3 linked regions of the Callithrix jacchus genome follow. The protein of the gene in region 2 interacts with the protein of the main gene of each other region in a pairwise test. Links are inferred from orthologs where the notes say so. Each region holds a gene or a part of one and is shown on either strand. Other genes may lie near its edges.

Region 1 (3,651 bases), on a different chromosome or scaffold from region 2:
CCAGCCTGGGTGATGGCATGAGACCCTGTCTGAATAAAATAAAACCCACACCATCTCAAGTCTCTCTTAGCCTGCAGATGCACCTGCTTTTTCTGTCTAGTTGATTTGCTCTGTCGTATATGCTCCCTGGTGTCCAGCCAGCAGACCTTCCATGGCCACAAGAAGACACAGCCCTGTTCAGTCCCCAGGTGCCTCCTGCGTGGGACTCAGGTGCTTGAGATGTGGCTGTTGCAGGTGTTTATTTAATTTGAATCTAAAGTTAGCAGCAACGTGAACCCACAGCTCATCAGACCGGCCTGGGGTTCCAGGCCAGGTGGGCTGTGGTTTGCTGCACAGCCCAGCTGCTGGTGGGAGTGGGGGTGATGGCACGGACGCCGGGGCTAAGTCCTGCCCCCAGAGGAGATTTGCGAATCTGGGAGCAGAGAGGCTGTTTTCCAGGTGAAGGTGGGGCTTCTGCACCCTCGCAAGCACATGTATGGGTAAAGGTGCTTCTGTTGGGGTTTGTGCCTGTGGTTGGCATCTGTGCCCTGAGGTAGCATAGGTGTCATGCTGGCCACTGTGAAGGAGTCCTGCGGGCTTCTGTGGTTCCAGTGAGGCCCAGCTCAGAGCTCCATGAGGTGCTGAGCAGCCAGCCCTGCCCCATCTCCTGGTTTCAGCAGGTGGTGCCCCCGATGCCTTCGGCTGCTGTCGGGCTGGGGTGCTCACATCAGGAAGGGTCCCTGCTCAGGCCTATGTGCTTCTCTTCTGCAGAGGGAGACGCTGCTGCGGCAGCTGGAGACAAACCAGCTGGACATGGACGCCACACTAGAGGAGCTGTCGGTGCAGCAGGAGACGGAGGACCAGAATTACAGCATGTGCGTGGCTGGGCCCAACGGTGGGGGCAGTGTGAGGGCTGCAGGCATAGACATGGTGCCAGGCCTGGCCTGCTCCAGGACAGCAGAGGGGAGTGCCCTGTTTGGGGTAAATCAGTCATCTTGGGGCACAGGTGGAGGAGGGCTCAGGCTGGCACTGCCCCCAGGAGCCCCATCAGAGTCCCACCTGACATGGACTGTGTGTGCAAGTCATGCCATGTCTGCTGCTCTGAGTGCCACCGACTGGCCAGGCACTGGTGCTGGGGGCTGCCTGCTCCTTAGGAGCTCGGCTTCCCAGACTGACAACCAGCGTGGTGTGTGCTTTCTAAGGAGCTCCTTGTGCTGAAGAGGCATATGGGTCAGGACATACAGGCCTCTGGTCCTTGATAGGAGTGGGTGGCTCAGCATCCTCCTGAGTGGGCATGGGCAGCATAGGCAGCCCCAGGGTTGCCGGTGGTGGGAAGGCCGACCCATCCTCTGCCTCAGGCTCCTGCACAGCTAGGGACTTGGAGCCTCCCTGGGACCCAGCTAGGGACACTGAAACAGCCCCTCCTGAGTTCCCCAGCAGATCTTTATTTCCAGAGGGAGAACCCGTGGGTCACCTTGGATCTGGCTGTTGGACAGAGCAGATTGCTCTGGACACAGCAGCAGACTGAGAAGGCGATGTGATGCCTAGAGGGACCCGTGGCTTCTGGCTGCCAGGGCGGCCCCAGAAAGGAGCCCCTCACACGGGCGTTTCTCTGCAGAACCAAGCTGGGATTTCCAGGGACTGAGTTGGGCAAGCTGGACGCTGCATCAACTGCATGCACCCCGCCAAGCCCAGCCCCTCCTCTTCCCAGAATCCCCTCGGGAAGGTCCGCTTGCAGCCATCTGGCAACCTTTGCACAGAGCCCCCATCAGCTGCCTCAGAACAGATCTCCAGGGACTTTCTGAGGAGTGGGACATGCCCACACTGGTGCCTGCTGTCCCCACCCTTCGGCACTGCTGCTCCTAAAAGTGGGTTGGGAGGGTGGCCTCTGTGGGGCAGGTGCCCCAGAACACAGTCACTCTTCCCAGCAGCAGCAAAGAGCCCCCTATCACCCAGGAGCCTCAGGGAGAGGCAGAGGAGCCAGCCTTCTCACCGCCTTCTACCTTCCAGCTTCCTGGAGATGATGGAGGTTCGCAGCCGGGGCCATGCATCCCCCTTGGCGGCCAACGGGCAGAGCCCGTCCTCGGGTTCCCAGTCACCAGTGGTAGCTCCAGGCGCTGTGTCCACGGGGAGCTCCAGCCCCAGCACACCCCAGCCTGCCCCACAGCTACCCATCAACACCACCCCGCCAGCCTCCGTGGCCCCTACACCACCCTCAGAGGCCCTGCCCCCGCCTACATGCCCCTCAGCCCCCGCCCCACGGCGCAGCATCATCTCCAGGCTCTTTGGGACCTCACCTGCTGCTGAGGTCGCCCCACCTCCTGCAGGTAGGCTCTGGAGCTGCCCTCCGACCCTGGTTCCTGCACCCTCACAGGTGGGGCCCCTGGTCTTGGAGCACTCCCCACCTCTTCCTGCTTGTCCCAGTCCCAGCCTGGGTGGGCCTGGCCAGGGGTTGTGCACAGTGAGACCTCTGGTGCTAAATGAAGAGGAACCAGCATCACTGTTCACAGAGCCAGTCCCGGCCACAGAGGCCCCAGCAAAAGTCCAGAATGTGGAGGACTTCATTCCTGAGGACCACCTGGACCGCAGCTTCCTGGAAGACACAACCCCCGCCAGGGCTGAGAAGAAGGTCGGGGCCAAGGCTGCGCAGGACAGCGACAGGTGAGGGGGGCCCTGAACCACTGTCCCACTGCCCCCAGGGGGCCCCTGCCAGCTGGGCAGTGTGGCTGAGGACAGCGCAGATCTGTGGCCAGCGCAGAAGAGGGAAGGGCTCGGATGGGGCTTTCAGACCTTGGAATGGCCCGGCCACCCACTCTGCCCACACCCTGGAGAGGGCACATTCCTCATGGAGGGCATTGGTGAGGCTCCTGGAAGTCACATGGGGAGGAGGTTCAGGCCACATGGAGGGCACTGGTAAGGACACTCTGGGTCACATGTCGAGGTTCGGGCCACCAGATACCGTCTCTGCAGGGCCCAGGGTTCCTGCAGGTTCCAGAGCTGGGAGCTAGAGCCAGCTCCCCATCCGTCTGCCAGCCCCTCCCACTGCTGTCTGCCAAGCTGCCCCAAATGCTCCCTGCAGTAAAGCCTTGTATTTGGTCCCAGGCATGGGCTCCACTGGACAGGCTCCACCTTAGGTGGTCTCAGCACCCTGTCCTCACCCATTGCTGTGGGGCACGGGTTTCCTACAGAAATACAAAGGATAGAAAGTGGCCCTGAGCTGGGCTCGCCCCCTCAGTGCCCAGCTGCACTGCCACCCTCCAGGCCACTGACCAGCCACAGGGCAGCACTGTGTCCAACCTTGTCCTACCCGGCCCTTTCCTGCTCAGAAGCCCCGTGACTGCCATGAGGGGCGTCTCCACTAGACACAGCTTCTAGGAGACCCTGGGGTGGGGCCACCATCAGGGTGTGCTGTGGTGCCTCGAACCAAGGCCTCTGAGCCAGGCCATCCGTCCCTACCCTGCTACCTCCTGACTGCCTGGCCACTTGCTTTGCAGTGATGCAGAGGCCCTGGGTGGCAACCCAATGGTGGCAGGGTTCCAGGACGACGTGGACCTCGAAGACCAGCCATGTGGGAGCCCCCCACCGCCCACAGGCCCTGTCCCTAGTGAAAACATCACTCTTTCAAGTGAGGAGGAAGCGGAAGTGGCACATCCCCCAAAAGGCCCTGCACAG
Region 2 (4,175 bases):
GGACTTGGTATGAGACAGTTAAATGCAATTTACATGTCTTGTACCAAAAAAGTGACATCTGCCTAGCTACATATCTGCAAAAACGTTGTGTGGGCCAAAGAAAATACCTAAACAAAACATGTCTATGGTATTCTGGTCCAAATACTGACAGCTTGTATCCCTTATTTTAGATAAAGGAAAAACAATCATTTTTTGTAGCCTTTATTTTGCAGCCTTATTCCCCTTTAAAGCTACAGATACTTAGAGCTTCTAGGAATTTGAAGATAAAAATCCTGTAGACACCCTGTGTCTAAGAATCAAGCTGCACTGAGACTGTTAAGTATCTTGGAAGTCAGGTAGTGTAGTGGTTTTCAATAATTTTTTGAGGGTAGGGAGTTCAGAGCCCTTTTTTCAAACATGAAGAACACAGCACTCCACTACTTAATATAGTCAAAGCTAAACTTAATGTCATAAACTATCCTATATGGTCCCTTTAACCCTAATGGTGATTCCTGACTTGTCTCTATAGAACTTCTGTGCTCTGGGACAGCAGTTTAAGAATTCACAGTCTTACTGGATTCCCACAACTGACAGACAGGAATTGGAGGTTCTGTGATGGGATGGGACCAGTATAAGCTGGCAGAACAGGTGACACTACCCTGTCTGATTGTGCAACAGTCCGTTTTCTATCCCCACTTGCTGTTCTGAGTGGGAATAATTATAAATTATAGCATATAGAGATTTAAGCTGGGTCCTGGAAAGAAGAAGGATTCATAGTAGAGAGCATGGGTTCAGATCTCTTTTTCTTCTTATGAGGTACTCACAAGCTCTCAGTACACAAGTGACATTCATTCCCATAGGTGATGTAGTCAGAACCACAAACTGGCAGGTATGTGATGGGGCAGGGGATGGCCACCACTGGATACTTCTTGTAAATGCTGCAGTCCACCTGTGTCATACACAAGCAAATATCCTGTTTTTTCTCCCAGACCCCAAGCTAGGATACCTTGGCCACTCTTAGATATACTACAAGGGCTGGAAGTCCCAGCTCAGATATTCAGATGTTGCTTGACCACTTCTGTAAGTACTAGTATTACCACTATGACAAATACTAGTACTACCATATTCTATTTTTTCTAATCTCAGTTAACAATTGCTGGGCATTTCTGCGCTAGACATTAAACTTAAATCTTACATTAATTTTGTTGTTTAATCTTCAAAACAACTAAATAGCGTAAGTTTTACCATTAAGTCTCTTTATAAATGGAGAAATTAAAGCTTAGCGATAACTTGTTCAAGGTAAATGCTGGTAAGTATTAGAGCTAGTATTGAAAACCAGAGCCTGTGTAATTTATCAGGGTATTTTTGCCCCGCTTCTTACGTGTTACGCCTTTTAGGAAAATATTACCAACCTCTCAGCTGGAATGCAGCTCTCCCTCCTTTAACTCTGGAATGTTTAAAAAACAGTTTTAAAATATGTTTGTTTATAGATATATTTCTTCAGTTGCCTTCTGGAGAGCAGATACCATTTCTCCATATGTGTTTGCTTCCCTCTTGAATCCTCCTAAATGTACTGAATTTATCCACCATAAATTGGCTAAATGGCAGTCCATAGGCATTGGCATTAAAATGTTATTCAAAATACTCACTGTTTTTAAAGGCAGACTAGCAGCTTCTGAAAAAGAGATGCAGATGAAAATGTTAAAAATAAAGCAAATTTTACATCTCATTAATTAATATGTTTCATTCTATATAATTAGATTTTCTCTGGCAATGAATTTCAGCACACTCTCCATCCTTATGCAAAATCATAGTTGTTTGCTGAGGAAGTTGAATGGCCAATGGGTTAGATTAACCCTTGGTTTAGGCAAAAGAATTATCAAAATTTCCTCCATTTATTAATCATGGGATGTTTTCTGAACCTCATAGTTTTTTTGATATTGGCCAAAGTCAGGTAGCAATAAGAATCATGAAAATCATCACTCTTAAGAGCCTGAAGGATCATCTTTGATATCCTTTCCTTCCTAATTGATATAAAGAAATGCATTATTGGAATGTCTTTAGGGGTTGGAAAGACTTTAATTAACTTTTCTCAACATAAAAGCCTAATTGTTGACCCTTGGCTTTTTGAGAATTGTGTTTTATTTTAATCCCTACAAACTGATTTAAGAAAAATGAGAACACATGGACACAGATAGGGGAGTACTAAACACTGGGGTCTATTGGGGGGAAAAGGGGAGGGCCAGTGGGAGGGGGAGGTGGGGAGGGATAGCCAGGGGAGAAATGCCAAATGTGGGTGAAGGGGAGAAGGAAAGAAAAGCACACTGACATGTGTGTTCCTACGCAACTGTCTTGCATGCTCTGCTCATGTACCCCAAAACCTAAAATCCAATAAAAAATTAAAAAAAAAGAAGACATCTAAATTTTTCTGTATCTTGACACTAAGGAATAGTGTATCTAATAACACTCACAACTTCCAGTGTCCATATGAACATATGAAATGAAAGACTTATGGATAAATTAGATCATTTTTTGGTCTATGGATGCAAATAAGAATCATTGAAAGTGAAGACATTAGACTCAAGTCTCTCAAAGTACAGACAGAATATAAAATTCTGTTACAAACTGTTATACTTTAAATTCTTACAACCAGATGTTTCTGAGATGCTCACATCTCAGGAGGGATTATTTGTGAAAACAAACTTAATGGCTGTATAGGGCATTGTCTGACCTTAACTTACCTGAGATGCTGTAGAAATGGATCACAGTACAGAACAGAAGGAGACCACCAATGATCTTCATGCTGGAAATGGCTGTGGTGCAGAGGCTGCTCCGAGATTGTCACTACAGTTGCCTTGACCATGTCCTGGGAAAGGGGTCATGTTTATATATGTGCAAGGCTTGGTTCTCCACCTTTCCTATGAGGTCATCCAGAGGATCGCAAAGCACAGTGTCACACCCTGGGCGGTTGTGTTACAGTCCTTGTTACTTAACTGCTACCTCTTATCTGACCAGTGATTTGGTTAATTGAGATAAGTATTCTCTCTCTGCCCCAAAGGTGGGACTGTTAAGAATTCTGAACTTCATATACTAGAAGAGATTAAGTATGAGCTTCTTGGCTTAGTTATAAAATAAGTGGAAATTTCTTTTATTTTACAAAACTGGAATTGATTAAACCCAGATTAGACTAATTACACCTATGTTTATATCTTGGTACCTGGGGAAATATTGTTTATTTTTGAGGAAATGAACCAATGAAGCAAACTGAGACCTAATAGAAGGAACAGTGACTTTAGCATTTATGAGGTATGGGGAAGATCATTAACATACTACTTTTGACATGTTCTACCTGTATAATCTTGGATAAGTCATTACATGCTGTGAGCCTGAAGAAGGCTTGGTTGCGTTGTGATAACATATAACTCCAAGATATCTGTAAATTAAAACTTTGTTTCTTACTCAAGCTACACATGTATGGTGGTCCGCTGATCATGCTGTACTGCCTTCACTGTGGATGCCAAGTGGACAGAGTGGTCACTATTTGAAATATTGTAGTCAAGGTGAAGTGAAGATGAGTTCTCAGTTCTCATGTTAGCAATGAAAACTTTCAGCCCAGAGCAATGCTACTGTCACTTCTCCTTGTGGTCTTACAGCCATTACATGCTTTGTTATGTATGGAGTGAGTGCAATCAGTCTGATATGGTTTTGCTCTGTCCCCACCCAAATCCCATCTTGAATTGTAGCTCCCCTAATTCCCATATGTTGTTGGGGGGATCCATGGGAGATAACTGAATCATGGAGGTGTTTTCCCCCATGCTGTTCTCATGATAGTGAATAAGTCTCACCAGATATAATCGTTTTATAAGGGGTTTTCCCTTGCACTTGGCTCTCATTCTCTCTTGCCTACTGCCATGTAAGACGTGCCATTCACTTTCTGCGATGATTGTGAGGCCTCTCCAGCAATGTGGAACCTCTTTTTCTTTATAAATTACCCAGTTTGGGGTATGTCTTTATCAGTAGCTTGAAAACAGACTAATACACAGTCTGACCTTGCCCCCTGAAGGTCAGATGGAGAACTAGAATAGTTGCAAACAGCAGAGAGATCATCCCAGAGACTGAGTTTCATCCTAATCCAATAGGGCCTGTTCTTAGCCACAATAGAGTTCACATAATTGGAACCATATACATAAAAGTCT
Region 3 (2,887 bases), on a different chromosome or scaffold from region 2:
TGCTCAGGGTGTGCCAGCCATACACTCGGGCCAGTCTCAGAACTGGCCTGGAAACCCTTGGACAAATGTGTAGTGCTGGTAATTCTTTTATTTTTCCTATGTAATTTGTTCTTCAAATATTTGTTGAAATTTTCCTGTTGAATCTAATAAATGATCGTTGTTTATTTTCTTCTTAACTTTCATTTTCTTGTTAACTCGTTATTTTACCAGAATTTAGGTTTATGACTAATGGAAAACAAAACAAAACTGGTCATTCTCGGCAGGGAGTTTTGGAAATCCGATGTCAGACTCCAGCCACTGGGGAGTTGGATACCACCCCCTGGAGTCACTTTCAAGTCTAAAATCCCATGAAGAACTGAAGTTGGGCAGGGAAATCAGAAAGTGAAGATGAGGAATGGCGAAGTTTCTGTGCCACATTTGACATGACACTGAAACTGGTCGTGTATGTGTCCCTCCTGCCCCCATATGATCTGGCACAACATTCAGTTTTACAAAAGATGAAACTCAGTGTGGTAGCCTGGCTTGCCTGAATACACTGTTTCTTAGCAGCTTACACTTCCATCCACAGGCCAGGTCTCTGCCCTCCTAGTTCAATCCCTCACCCCAGTCTCTTATTTTTAAGGCATATAAAGGAAACCAGAGGCAGAATCAAGTCAAAGCTCTTTTATTATCACTCACATTATTTCATAGCAAAAGGAATGTAGCAAACGGGTCAGGGTTGTACATTAAAAAAAAAAAATCCAGGTTTGTAGAGGTCATGTTATTTACATATGGGAGCAGGGCTGTCCTGGCATCAGGCGCAGCAGTTGCACTTGTCCAATGCCCCTTTGCAGATGCAGCCCTGGGCACACTTGGCACATCCCACAGGGCAGCAGGAGCAGCAGCCTGGGGACAGAGAGGAGGCAGCAGAGATGAGTACTAGGGACACAGAGAAGGATCCCTGCTCTCCCTGATAAGAATCACTGAGGAGGCAACAACTTCCATGCAATGGGGCATCCCCAGACTGCTTTACTTCCGCCGAGGATGATGTAGAGGGCTGGGGACAGGCTGGAGGACAGTGAGGGGGTAGAGGAAAGAGAGGATCCCACTTACTTTTCTTGCAGGAGGTGCATTTGCACTCTTTGCACTTGCAGGAGCCGCCGCAGGTGCAGGAGTCACCTGTCAGGAGAAAAGACAGAGGTAAGAACGGTCCCTGAATATCTGAACGCGGGACGGCGTGCTAGGAGCCCGGGGCCGAGTTTCTCCGTCCACAACCAATTCCTGGGAACTTGAGCAAGCTATTAACTCAGATCTCCTTAACGGTAAAAAAGGGGGCTCCGAATAACCTAGAATGGAGAGAAAGACACCCCAAAACGCTTTGGGAAGGAGCAATTCCTGCCATGAAATTGAGTGATCAGAGAAAGAAAAAGGGGTCAGAAACTGCTTCTCTGGCGCTACAGGGCATCCCCAGCCCCTTACCGGCGGTGCAGGAGCAGTTGGGGTCCATGGCGAGCTGAAGAGGCGGCTGGAGTCGGAACACGGCTGCACGCGAACTCGCTAGGACTTGGAGTACAAGTTGAGGCGTGGCGGCGCTGAGCGCGGCGAGCTGTGTTTATAGCTGGAAAGAGCCGGGGAGAGCGCAAAAGCCCCGCCCTGGCCCGGCGCCGCCTGCACACGCTCCGCGCTGAGTCACTCGCTGCTCCCGGTGAAACACCAGACTGAGCTCATGGGGCCGGGCGCACCCCCCTCTGCACACGGGCCGCGGCGGGTCAGTTCCCCGAAGCCGGCCTACGTGCGCCTGGGGCTGGGTGCAGGGAGAAGACGTAGTACCACGCCGCGCGCCCAGCACCCTGCCCCTTGCCCTCCGCCGTGTGCACAGCTGCCCTCCCCCCGTCCTGTACTTTTGAAGCTGAGCCGTTAGGGCGCAGGTGAAAGCCGGACTTGGGAATGCTGTTTGCACGGTAAACCGGTTGAAAGTGCAGACTGGTTACAACTCTAGCAGTCAAGGCTTAATAATTGTGCAGCATCATAGTAAACCCATGGGGTGGTTACCGGTGATGTATCCGTGGCATGTTGAGTGCTTTAGCGTGCAACAGGGACTGTAGAAAGTGTGTCTGTGTGAGATGTCACTTAATCTTGTATCAACACCTAAGATAAGGAATCTCCGGTATTCTCATTGTAGAGAGGAGAAACTGCAGTCACAGAGAAGTTACTTGTCCAGGATCACACAGCTAGCGAGTAGCAGAGTGCCCTGACTGCCACCAGGCCCCAGCAGATGCTGATGGCCCTCTAACATAGAGACACCAAGGAGAGAGGATAAGGGCAAGAAGCCACAAGCTTGGTCTCAGGAAGCTCAGGGGCTAAGGGAACAGAGAGGAGGGGACCCTGACCAGCCTGGGAGAAGGTGGGCCATTGCCTGGGGTCTGAGGGTAAGAAGGTGCTTGCCAGGCAAGGAGGGGAAGGATTTGTGTTCTAGCTTGGGAAGGAAGGAACTAGCAGGAGCTAGCTGGAATGGCTCTGAGACATTTGGAAGGGGAAAACCCCGGCAAGAATGTTCTTCCCCTTTGGAGGCTGAGGGGGAAAGCCCAGGTGGCATCCACATGCCTGTCTGGAGAGGCACATCCTGTTTCCCTGCCTGCATGTGTCTGGCGCTGTGCTACCGTCTTAGGTCACCAACCTCGGACTGCCAGAAGTGTGTCATGCTAGGAGTCAGGAAGTGGTTACTGGAAGCTTCCTGGAAGGCTGAGGGAGTACAAGTTACTGCAGTGGGAGTTTAGTGAGGTGGTGGGCGGAGGACAGGCTGTCCTTGCAGCTCTTACTATAAGCACAGATGAACCGTCACTTCCTCTGGGGACCCTGTCCTGGGCCCCACGCCCGTGGCTGTCGTGGAAGGTGCTGGTAAACATCC

The links.
Region 1: the proteins of SPINK7 (region 2) and RABL6 interact in binary tests that used the Homo sapiens proteins (3 or more experiments, as listed by UniProt). The link is inferred for Callithrix jacchus from reciprocal best matches to the Homo sapiens genes SPINK7 and RABL6.
Region 3: the proteins of SPINK7 (region 2) and metallothionein-2 interact in binary tests that used the Homo sapiens proteins (3 or more experiments, as listed by UniProt). The link is inferred for Callithrix jacchus from reciprocal best matches to the Homo sapiens genes SPINK7 and MT2A.

The regions. Positions count from the first base shown.
Region 1 is NC_133502.1:185,271,033-185,274,683, forward strand, and holds part of RABL6 (rab-like protein 6), read left to right. Parts: intron 1-750; coding exon 751-854; intron 855-1,989; coding exon 1,990-2,306; intron 2,307-2,474; coding exon 2,475-2,640; intron 2,641-3,473; coding exon 3,474-3,651. UniProt on the Homo sapiens protein: May enhance cellular proliferation. May reduce growth inhibitory activity of CDKN2A.
Region 2 is NC_133503.1:47,017,223-47,021,397, reverse strand, and holds the start of SPINK7 (serine protease inhibitor Kazal-type 7), read right to left. Parts: upstream 2,841-4,175; 5' UTR 2,782-2,840; coding exon 2,721-2,781; intron 1,655-2,720; coding exon 1,629-1,654; intron 929-1,628; coding exon 804-928; intron 1-803. UniProt on the Homo sapiens protein: Probable serine protease inhibitor.
Region 3 is NC_133521.1:14,458,940-14,461,826, reverse strand, and holds metallothionein-2, read right to left. Parts: upstream 1,568-2,887; 5' UTR 1,487-1,567; coding exon 1,459-1,486; intron 1,159-1,458; coding exon 1,093-1,158; intron 886-1,092; coding exon 794-885; 3' UTR 649-793; downstream 1-648. UniProt on the Homo sapiens protein: Metallothioneins have a high content of cysteine residues that bind various heavy metals; these proteins are transcriptionally regulated by both heavy metals and glucocorticoids.